3 linked regions of the Diceros bicornis minor genome follow. The protein of the gene in region 1 purifies or fractionates together with the protein of each later gene. This does not show direct contact. Links are inferred from orthologs where the notes say so. Each region holds a gene or a part of one and is shown in the gene's direction. Other genes may lie near its edges.

Region 1 (3,742 bases):
GCCATGGGCTTCTCAAGGTAGGGACTCTGTCTTGAACGGTTCGGGGTCCCCAGGCCTTTGGGCACAGAGGGGCCATCAGTGTTGGTTAAAGAATAAGAATCACTCACACATGGCACCAACCACATGCCAGACCCTGCTCCAAGCACTTTATAGATGGAAGGTTCCATCACTCTCACCAGATTATGCTTCAGCCAGAGGGGAGACAGGTGGTCAGCCGCCTGCAGCGAAACTTCCTGGTGCTGGCTGGCGAAGGCAGGCCAGGTCTGGCAGTGCCAGCGACTGACCCATAGGGACATGCCCAGGTCACTCCCTTCCTACCTGGCCTGAAACAGCCAGAGAGAGGACTGTGGTATGCTCTGTCTCCAGAGCCCTGGGGGAAATGCTCATTCATTCATCAATGCTCAGTGCCCCACCAGGGACACAGTCCCTGTCCCCACCAAGCTAGTAGGCGAACACGGCCAACCCTCACCTCCCTCCTCCCAGGGGAAGTGGGCCAGGTGCCTCCTCTTTCCCTGTCTACACCTTGGCACACACACTGTCACTGCCCAGCTCCTTGTCTTCTCCCTGTCAGATCCCCGTGCCCTCCTCAGGACAGAGGCTAAGTCTGGGTCTCCCCTCCTCTGGCCCCAGCGCCCACACACAGCAGGCGCTCAATAAATGTTTCTTTAGCGGCTGAATGGGACAGGAGGGGAAGGGCCCCAGCCCCGCCGCCGCGCCTGGCAGCCCCGATGCCGGCTCGCCTCTCACCTGGGCCCGGCCGCCCGCCCCGGCCCCGGCCCGCCCGGCTCGACTTCCTCCCGCCGCCCCGCCCCTTCCACATTCCTGCCCCGCCGGCCTCCCCGCGCCGTCCCGTCGCTGCGCCGCAGCCGCCGGCGCCCGGCCCCGCGATGAAGGCGGCTCAGGCGGTGGGCGAGGAGGCGCCGCCCGGCGTGCGCTCGGTCAAGGTGGTCCTGGTGGGCGACGGCGGCTGCGGGAAGACGTCGCTGCTGATGGTCTTCGCCGAAGGGGCCTTCCCCGAGGTGAGTGCCAGCCCCGCCGGCGCGGCGCCCAGGGCCTGCGCGCATCCCCCATCCCCGCCCAGGCGCCCCAGTGCGCCCCGTCTGTGCGGGAGCTGCCGAGGACATGCGCCCGCGTGGCCTCCCTAGGGGTCTCCCAGCAGAGTGTGGGGTCAAAGGCAGTTCTCTCTCTGCCATGGGGGGTGGGGGGTGAAGGCCTCAATATCATGGGTCAAGTGGCAAGAATGGCACCAACCTGGGAGAGATGTCCCAGTGGCTGACTTAGGCAGCCTAGTACATAGCAGGTCTTAGGGGAGCACTTGGTGGCCCAGGGCGGCTAAGAGGGACTGAGGACTCGAGAGCCAGGTTGCCTGTGTTTGAATTGTGGCTTTGCCACTTACAGCTGTGTGCCCTTGGGCAGGTCCCCTACCCTCTCTGTGCCTGTTTCCTTAACTGCGTGATAGGAATAACGATGGCGCCTACCTACCAGGGTCACTGTGAAGAGTGAGTTAATATGGTCAAGGGCCCAGGTCCAAGCCTGCAAGAGGAAGGACTGGTGGCAAACATCTTTCTTGGGAAACATCATCTCTTCTCCCCCAGATCTTGCCCCTGTAACGGACATCCCATGGGCTCTGCCTTGGAGGGCAAGAGCACAGCAGACCCCAGTCAGACAGGTGGTTGGCACTTTGGCTCTCCTCTAACGAACTGTGTGGCCCTCAGAACCTTGCTTAGCCTCTCTGAGCCTCCGTTCCCTCACACAACCTCATGGGGTGGAGGACCCGAGGGTGGTGGTGAGATGGAATTAAGGTAAGGCTGAGAGACAACCCCACGTGGGACCTGGCAAGTCCTTGACGCTCTGGGCATATCACCTTCACTAGATGCTCCCTGACAGTCCACATGGACTCCCCAGGCGCCAGGACAGGGGCTGACCCACCCGCCATGCCACCTCCCAGCCCAGTTCTGGGAGTCCGTGGCATTGCTTCCAGCACCTTTTCTCCGTCCTGCCTGTCCCCACCTCCTCCAAACCCCTGGGGTTGTGCAGGCACTGGGGAGGCCAGTGGGGGAGGCAGGAGGGGCCAGGCCTGGTAACAGTGTCAGGCCTTTCTTTCCACTGTGGCAGCATCGAGCCGACTCTTGTTTTGTGGTTTATGGTGTTGACGTCACCTCCTCTGGCCAGTCACATTTTTTTAAGTTGGGGGGAGGCGTGTTTCTGGGCCCCCGGATGCTGCCTATGGGAACCCAACAATTATGGCACGGTGGGGAGAGTGCCATGGCGGAGCCGGCCAGCTGAGGCCCAGGAGAGGGGTTGGCGGGGGTGGCACCTCATCACCAGTGTCCTGGGCTCTGAGACTTCGTTGATGGTGAGACCCATCTGATTTCAGAGAGGTTACACTGTGGAAATGGGCATCTTGCAGTTTATAAGATGTGTGTGTTGAAGGACACACTGATGCTGGCCAGGGGAAGGGAGGGCATCCTTGTCACCGGGAGGATGGACCTGGCCTTGTCTAGGCTCCTCTCCTCTTTGGTGCCCCTGATTCCTTGAGACCTCTCTGCCTCCAGGCACAAGAGAGACCTCTTCACTTAAAAGAAACACAACGTCCGAGAGATGGAAAGACCTTTATTTTACTGATGGGAAAACTGAAGCCAGAGAGACAGAGTCTTACCTCGAGGAACTAGGCCCAGCAGTGGCAGGACAGGCCTAGAATGCAGGTCTCCCCACCCCTGACCAGGACACTCTCCGCATCGACCAGTACTCTGCCTGCTGGACCAGCCTTCTCCTGCTCCTGCCCCTGCACTCCTCCTCCTGGCAGCCCTCCAAGCCCAGGGAGCCAGCAGCTACGAGACTTGGGGTCCCATCTCCCAGGCCTCCTGCCTGAAGCAGAGATCAGAGAGCAGGCTGGGATTTGGAGGGGCCTCAGTGACGCTCATCTGGCTGTGGCCCAACCTGGGGTTCGGGGCAGGGGGAGCAGAGAAGAGAGAGCTGAGGCAGGGAGTGACTCCAGGCTGGGCGCCAGCCTCTGCCCAGTCCTGGCATTTGGGGCAGCAACCGTTCCCACGGGGCCGAAGCCCAGGGGCCCGCAGAAGGGTGGGTATCGGAGGGGGCAGGGAGCACCAGCCCTGCCTTCCAGAACCAGCTGAGTCCTTGCTGGTCCGCACAGGGACTCCCATGGGATTGCTGCCGGGGGAAACCCCTGACCCTCCTCTCTTGAGCTGTGTCTCCCGTCCTGCTATGATCCATCCATCTGTCTGTGAGCCCCCAGGAGGGCAGACCCACGCCTCAGTCATCTCTGCCCTGGTCTCCCTCAGGCCCGTCCCTGCTTTTCCAGCCGAGGTCGGCTCAACAGATAAGATTAGGCGCTTATTTGTTCCATAGGCAGAAAGTGACCTGCCTGGGGGGTCAAAGAACACGAGAGACGGTATAGACAGAGTCTCCAGGATGACATTCCAGGGGAGGGGGAAAGGTTGTGACAGTTACAAGCTAGAGGAGCAACCCAGCCCCACAGCCGGGAATGGGCCTTCTCTGCCCACTCCTGGCACCAGAAGCTAGAGTTGATGACCTCAGGAGAGGCAGGTGGCTGGGACAGAGCCTGGCCTCTGGAGCCACAAAGTCCGGGCTCCGTCCTTAGCCAGCTGTCCAGTGTGTCAGTTCCCCGCTCTGTTCTCCTCAGGAAAATGGGGATAGTACCGACTTCCCAAGGTTGCAAGGATCAGAGATGGTGCAGGTAAAGGGCCACACACAGTAGCTC
Region 2 (3,742 bases), on another chromosome or scaffold:
GTGGAGAATTCTTTGAAATCTTAATTGTGAACATTCTTTTCACAAAATGTACAGTCTTCTAGAGATTTTGCTAGTGGAAATAGGGGTGTGAGCTGATCCTCATATGTTTGAGACATCAAATGCCTTTATAATTTATTTTCCAACTGGAGTAACTAGGTGTATTGATGTTTTTCTTTTAAAAAGACCTGGAGATTTGCTCTCCATGTTAATTTTTCATAATATTTGGTATTTATTGAATAACGAAAAATGCCACGGAAAAATTTTACATATTAAAAATAAAATCTTCCTAAAGTTTACAATTCTACTACACACCTTTTGCTTACCTTTAAATAAACATTTAGATGTATTAAGATCACGTCGATTCTTGAACAGCAGGATGTTGAGTGGTTTAGGTCATTTAAAAATATTTGAAGAGAAAGGTATGGAAAATGAGGGGAGGGTGTTGTGGATTTAAAAGTACATGTATACATATGTATGTCATTTATTAAAACTTTAGACAAGGATGTTGTCTTCCCGGGAGTTGAGAGCCATTGGAGCGGGAAGTCCGCTGCAAGGAAGAACAAAAGCATGGCCGCGCGATAGTACTATCTCTGCAGCAGCAGCAGGCTCCCGGACGGAGGGCTGCGGCGATGTCAGTCTACTGCACCGCATTTTTATTAGTGACAGCCTCCGTTATTCTGTCAGCTGAGCCAACTAAGCCGTTCCCTGCGCTCTGGTTGGTCACCCGGACTCCCTTAACTGGGAGAAGGAAAGAGGAAAAGAAAGGTGATTTGTATCAAGGGAGGCACACGAGGATTTCTCTCCTTCGGGATCGGCGTCGCCTCACCCTCGGGGACGCGGGGGAATTCCAGACCGCGTTTAACCCAGAAACCAGCGCGTCCTATTAATTTGCTACCACTCGTAGTGAAGGTAGTGAAAGGCTTCATCTTCTCTTTCCAGCTGGGGCCAAAGAGCCGGGTTGGTCAGAATTGCCGGGCCGGTGCGCACTAGCCCTGGACCCCTTGGGGCCCTCAGAGCAAGCACCGGGCGGAGTGGAGGTCAAGTCAAAGGGCACGACCGCAGAGCTCACTACCCCTCCCAGCGCTGTCGGCACGCTTCTGCACGACCACCGCTAACGCTGCAAGGCTGGAGGGCGGGGAGGGGCGGGTCCCGGCGGGGGCGGGGCTAGGGGGCGGGGACGAAGAGGCCGATGATTACGTCGGGAAGGGTAGTTTCGCGAACCGCAGTAGCGGGGCTACTCCGGCTCTGCTTGAGGGATCGGGACTACAGCTCCCAGGAGTCTGCGGGCCCAGCCAGGGAGTCCATGCGCAATGGGCGCCACATTGTATCCTATCAGGCTAGGAGAGGGTGATGTCACCTGCGAGTTGGTAACCTACGAGCAGCTGTGAAGGAAACTATTTAACCGGATCCCATTGTACCCGGAGCGCGGAGCCGCCTTTCCAGCATGCGGGGGCTGCTCAGGTAAGGGGGCGCGCCGCCTGGCCCGACGCACTCATTCATTGAGTGGTACCGCGCGGTGGCGCGGGGGTGGGCGCGCTTCTTCGGCCCGGGCGCTGGGTTCCCGGCGCGCCCTCTCGCTGCCTGCCCAGAGCTCCCGGGCCAGTAGGTAAATATTAAACCCGTCCTTCAGGTTGCGTCTGGGTGGGAACGGGACCTAGCTCCCGGCTGCCAAGCTGGGTTTGGGAAAATGGCTGCAAGCACCGCGCAAAGCAAGGCGAGCTTGGGGGAAGGCGCCTCCAAGGACGGGCGTCCCTCCCTCCTTTCTTTCTGAGGCGCTTGGATGCCAAGAGAGCCGGCAGGGTACCACTCGCCACCTTGCTGCAGATACCCCGGGGCTGGGGCGCTGGGGGTCGTGGCCTCGGCTGGGGAATTATGGGTACTTTTGCTGTCGGGAGCCGCTGGCCCGGGAGGCTCCGAGAGGGAGAATCGTGCACTCGGAGGTGGCGACGAGGAAGGAGGGACTCGTTTACCCGTCCGCGTCGGAGCGGGACCCCCCACCGTCCTTGGCACCCTCACTTCAAGCCTCACTCGAAAGAAATGGGGTGACTATAATTCAGGCAAAGTTGGACGCTAAAGGTCTAAAAGAGGAGGGAAACCCGCGCTGCGGAAGGAGCAAGGGGTGTTGGCAGACGGCGGCGCGGGGAGGCTGCGGCCCGGGTTCGAGGCGCAGCAGAGTGCTCCCGCCTCCCGTCCCTCTGGGGAGGGCGCATCTCGGTCCCCCTTGCACTGATTGCTCCCTCAACAAAGAGCACCTGAACTGGGGCTAAGCGTCTGCCCTGAGCCCTGGGCTGGGAGGGGGTAAGGCGGTGCGGGATGTCAAATAATCTAATGATAAGGAGCGCTCTGGGGCAGGAGGGCTAGGTAATCGGGTTTTCCCAGCTGGTGCCGAAAACCCAGCTGCTTGTGATCCCCTTGCTCTCGGACTGGAGACGTGCGTGACGCGCGAGAACACTATTGTAAAATCCTCTGGATTTCCTTTCACTGTCCCTAGCACCGTATTCTTTCGCTTACTCACTCATTCATCAAACCCTGCTCGTGGCTCGGTTCTCAAGTTGCTCACAGCCTGAGGTTGGATGTTCTGTCTCTTGCCCCATAAAATATTTTAGGGTGCGCAGGAATGGATACCTACACTGCATCTCCCAGCCCCCCATCTCTGCCCGCAGGAGAGCATCAAGAGCAAATGCCACCCGTGACCGTTTTGCTCCCATTGAGCTGGTAGTTTCTTGAGGCTCGAGAAGGACCTAGTGAATTGGAGTTTGTCTGCAAGATGAATCCCGTTGCCATGGCGACTCCTGCCGTCGGAATCTTAACTGCTCCCACTGCTGTTTCGATTCGATGTGGCTCTGAGGGCAGCTGGGTGGGCGTGGCCAGTGGGTGTGGTCAAGTGCTCGCCCTGGGCCCAGCTGCTCTTTCCTTCTTACTCGTTTCACAGCCCCGAGGTTCTCTCCATTCTCTTGTAAACAGCTTGGACACAGTTCTTAGACCCCTTTCCCTCTCGCGTGCCCGTAGCTCGTCTCCCCACCTCCCTCCCCAGAAATAATTGTTTGGAGCCTTTTTCCTGAGGCAAACTGCGAAAATTACGGTTGAAAGATCTTCCCCCTTCGGGCTAGCTGCATCATTTTCCTAATAACGTCTATCACCCGGTTGGAGGCCGCTTTCTCAAGGAGGGAGCTCTCCTCTGTTCTGGAGGAAGAGAGCTCCTGGGCCGTCAGTAAAGGTCCTCAGTTTGCCCTCGGTGCAAGTCCTGGGGAGTTTTTAGGGACAAGTAATAACTGAAATTGAATTCTGGAAGTCACAGCCGTCCCTTGTGGTTTTCAGAGAATCTGAAAGCCTGCCTAGAGGATGCCGGTCCTTGAGATTGAAGCCCGCTGGGCTGGGATGTGGGAGGCTGGGTCCTGCTCTGGCCCTGTCATTACTGGCTACTGCCCTCTGGGGTTAACCCTTTACCTCTGGGGAACCTTGGTCTTTGGTGATGTGGGGAGAAGTAGAGAGGGTTTCCTAAGGTTGACTAGGTATAAAAGTCCTGTGACTCGAAGAAGGATTTGTTCAGTGTCTTTTATTTTTCTCGAAGAAATCTGAAGATGAGAGTTTAAACCCAGCTTCTGACACTGTGCCATTGGGTTAATATCTCTGAGTCTCACTTGTATGTATATAGCAAAATAGTCTGGCTCTTCATGGCGATCCTTCAAAGTGGGCAAGGCAGCCATATTACTATTTATAATGTTCTTTCTAACACTACTGT
Region 3 (3,742 bases), on another chromosome or scaffold:
GTGACACAAAGCTTGTCTTGCAACTTCCCTTTTTGATAAAATGTTGGCATCCCTGTCAGACTCTGACAATTCTGGGGTCCCCTGTGGTGGGGGCTTGGGTGGGCTGTGTTGTGGACGCAGCTCAGGGCTGAAGGGGGAAGGTCTGGCCTGGCTGGTGCGAGTGGGAGGTCAGCGAGATGCTGAGAGCCAGTGAGTGCCATCCTGTGGATGCCCCAGTGGCTTCATCTGGCCAGGCGTTCTTGAGCACTTGCAGGAGGACACAGGAGGAAGTGGACTGTCTGCAAGGAGGCCACAAGTCTGGGTGAGGGTGGGTCCCCAAAGAGCACAGGGGCATCCCAGTGTGGGGGTGCAGGTTAGGGTTTGGGGGATGGTCCCTAGCTGATGCTCACCACACCCCATCCTGTGACTGGAGACCTCCTATGTCGGGCAGCGGGAGAGAGCACACAGAAGAGCTGGCCTCACGAGGGTCCCCACCTTCTCTCAAGTTCAGGGGGCCTCAGGGGCATCAGGACCAGGGCAGACGGGCTGGAGTGACCAGAAGTGGAGTGAGCTGAAGTCCAAAGACAGAACTCCCAGGGAGAGGCTCCCTCTCACCACCTACCTCCAGGCACCCAGACACCGGCTGATAGGTCCTGGGTGCAGGTCCCCAGCGGCCCACTGGGGGTAGGGGGAGGAGAAGGGAAGGCAGCTGCGGGCCAAGGATGGGTTGTGAGGGGACTCTTGGCAGGCGCCCCCTTCCCTTAGGAGGTTGGGGGACTGAGCCTCCTGGAAAAGGGTCAAGGCCCAGCAGCCCCCCACCCCCAGAAAGGGCAAAGGTGTAGGCAGCCAGTTCCCAGTCCCAGAGTGGGGGTGCTGGTGCCCCACGCGCCTCAGAACCACGAGGGCAGGGTGCTCTCCCCAACTGCGGAGTGCTGAGGCCTGGGCCTCCCTGTGCCCCGGGACGCTCCGGGGATGGTGCCCAGGCCGAGGGGCACTCGCTGCATGGTGTAAACCTGGGACCGAACCGGGCCGAACCTCCCCAGCAACGCGGCAGGCCCACTGTGGCAGTGCCGGCCCGCCACACCCCTCCCCTCCCCCCCTCCCCTCCCCCCCCTCCCCTCCCCTCCCCCCTCCCCTCCCCCCCCTCCCCTCCCCTCCCCTCCTCCCCTCCTCCCCTCCCCTCCCCTCCCCTGTCCCCGCCCCCCTCCCCCCCGTCGGGGGCGGGGCCGCTGCTCCCGCGCTCCGGCCCCTCCTTGGCCACACAAAGGCCGGTCTCCATGGCAGCCGCGAGGGCCGCAGCGCAGCGCCGATCGCGGCCCGGGCGCCATCGAGCCTCGGCGGTGGACGTGCAGGTACGGAGACTGGGTTCGGGGCCCGCGGGGTGGCTGCGCCGGTCGGGGGTCTTCGCCGTTAGCGCCGCTGCGCCTGGCTGGCGCGTTCTGGGCGCGAGGACCCGGGGCGGCTGCGGCCCCGCGGAGCGCGACTCGGGCCTCGGCCGCCGTCCTGTGTCCCTCGGGCTGGGCCAGGCCGCTCCCGCCGCGCGCCCTCCCAGGGCGGGCGAGGCCTTCGGGGTGGGGGGTTGGGGGGGCGGGCCTGGCCGGGCCGAGGGTCCCCAGCCGGGCGCCGCGCCCTCTCCCGCCGCCCGCGTCCCTTTGGAGCCGCTCGACTCCTTCTGGCTCCTGACCACCCCTCCCCGCCCATGCCCCCCACCTCTGCAGCCACCGAGACCCCGTGCACTGGGCGGAGATCGTCCCTGTCGTGCAAGAGCTCCAGGCCCCCACCCCCCCACCCACCGGGCCGCGGTTCCGGGGTGGCTGAGCCCGGGCTTTCCCCGGGGGGCTGGACCCGCGGTCAGGCCTTGGCAGCCCCCACACCCTCTGGGACTCCTTGTGAGGAGGGCGTGGGCGGAGACCGTCCTGTGAACCCCCTGGTCTTCGCCTGACCAGGCTGTAAGGCGGGTGCAGGTTCCGGGTTTCGGGGGGGGGGGGGACTAGGGGCGCCTCAGACCCTGGTAAGTCCTGGGGGCCTGCCTGGAAGTTCCTGGTGTGGTTTGTTGGTGTGGTGTTTGGGAGAACACCGTGGGACCCAGGAAGCCTCAGAACTGGGGAGGGGAGCCGTGTATTCAGAGCCTGAGCCCTGCCCCTCACCCTCTGGCCTGCACTTCTGCATGCCTCCTCCTGCAGGAAGCTCTCCTGGATGGGCACTTCCCACCATTCTGTGCTCAGGCGGCTTGGCAGATTTGAGGGGTCCCTGAGCCCAAGAGCCCCCGAGCTTCCTGCCATGTCATGTGCTTTTCTTCCCAGCAACTTGGAAAAGGAAGGAAGGATTCTATCTGTGCCTACCATGGCCTGTGTGGGGTCAGAACGGGGGTGAAGCTGGGCCCCAAAGCTCATGGAATGTTCTGGGGTGTGGAGAGCTCCCTGGGCCTGTGCCTACCCTGGGGCACTCCCCCTTTCATGTCTGATTTCAGCCCCGGTGCTCCCTCCCTCCTGGGGCTGGGCCCTCTGGAGGGAGGGGGAACATGGCTGCCCAGAGATGGAGGATCTCAGCCTGACCCCATGCCCAGATGTTACCCTGGCGTGGAGGAGAGATTCCATCTGAGAGTTGGACGGAGGAGACTGGACATCCCTCCTCTGCCCTGAGGTGAAGGTCCCTGGGAGGGCAGGGTCAGCACGGGCCTGGCTGGGTCTGCTGGGTATTTTTTGTGGTGTGTCAGCTTCCCACAGATGACTGAAGACCAGCAGGTGGGCTAGGCAGATCTGAGCCTCCCACGTCCTCCTCCCATACCTACTGGGGGCTCACCTCGGTCTGAGGGGTCAGGGGAGGCCTGAGGTCTGGCCAGGAGTTCCTTGTCCCAGGAGGGGAGGGAAGTCACTGAGAAAAACAAGGGTTTGGAATGTGGTCCCTCTTCTCCCGCCGGCTGCCTGCCAAGGAGGAGTTATTTTGGATTATCCAGCCGCGTCCAGCCACCCGAGGGGGGAGGTGCAGTCGTGGGAGAGCAATCCACTTCCGGGGCCGTGGGTTGGGAGCCCCAGGAGGGAGGGAAGGGCAAGTCTGGGCAGCTCCACCACCTCCCAAGGCTGAGGCTGCTTAGACCAGTCCGGGGTGGGGTGGGAGAGGATGCGTCACCCTTGGGTTGGAGCGGGTTGGAGAATGCTCGAGGTCCAGGAGCGAGCCTGGAATGGGCCCAGGCCCTTCTGGCGGAGGCACAGGGCAGGAGGAGCCCTGGATCCTGTCCTCGGGGCCCGGGGGAGGGGCCCAGCTGTGGGACCCCTTTCAACCCTAGAGGCCTTAGCACTATGGCCTCGAGGCCCTCTGGGGCGCCTCTCCAGAGCCAGGTTTGGGGACACACCTTGGGCCTGAACAGGTAGAAGCATGACTTAGGCTGTTTAGTGTGGGGCACTGGGGTCTCACTCCAGCTGAACCTCAAGCCACCCTCCTTCCCTCAACTGACGCAGTGAGCAGCACTGACTGATGCGCAGCCTCCCTCCAACACCCCCCCGCCCCCAGCCAGCCTTCACCTCCACACCCCCCTACTTGAATGTGGCACCTGTCAGTCCTTCCCACAGGTGAGGGGTCCCACAGATGAGACCAAGGCCAGGGATGGGTCCCTGCAAGGAGCCGTGTGGGACACTCCCTCTGCCGTGTGGGCTTCCCTGGGTCCATGCCTGCATGTGCCCGAGGCCATGCTCCCAGCAGCCCCTGCAGGGACCACATTGGGAGGCAGAGCTGGCAGCTGGGGCAGAGTGCAGGAAGCCCAGGG

What was found.
Region 2: the proteins of RHOD (region 1) and DAAM1 purify together in Homo sapiens (affinity purification with mass spectrometry; 3 studies listed by BioGRID and IntAct, counting the BioPlex papers as one, with this or other methods). This does not show direct contact. The link is inferred for Diceros bicornis minor from reciprocal best matches to the Homo sapiens genes RHOD and DAAM1.
Region 3: the proteins of RHOD (region 1) and PLXNB2 purify together in Homo sapiens (affinity purification with mass spectrometry; 3 studies listed by BioGRID and IntAct, counting the BioPlex papers as one, with this or other methods). This does not show direct contact. The link is inferred for Diceros bicornis minor from reciprocal best matches to the Homo sapiens genes RHOD and PLXNB2.

Annotation. Positions count from the first base shown.
Region 1 is NC_080770.1:6,376,446-6,380,187, reverse strand, and holds the start of RHOD (rho-related GTP-binding protein RhoD), read left to right. Parts: upstream 1-879; 5' UTR 880-887; coding exon 888-1,019; intron 1,020-3,742. UniProt on the Homo sapiens protein: Involved in endosome dynamics. May coordinate membrane transport with the function of the cytoskeleton. Involved in the internalization and trafficking of activated tyrosine kinase receptors such as PDGFRB.
Region 2 is NC_080763.1:8,995,943-8,999,684, forward strand, and holds the start of DAAM1 (disheveled-associated activator of morphogenesis 1), read left to right. Parts: upstream 1-1,353; 5' UTR 1,354-1,461; intron 1,462-1,546; exon of another isoform or gene 1,547-1,606; intron 1,607-3,742. UniProt on the Homo sapiens protein: Binds to disheveled (Dvl) and Rho, and mediates Wnt-induced Dvl-Rho complex formation. May play a role as a scaffolding protein to recruit Rho-GDP and Rho-GEF, thereby enhancing Rho-GTP formation. Can direct nucleation and elongation of new actin filaments.
Region 3 is NC_080764.1:502,853-506,594, forward strand, and holds the start of PLXNB2 (plexin-B2), read left to right. Parts: upstream 1-1,256; 5' UTR 1,257-1,331; intron 1,332-3,742.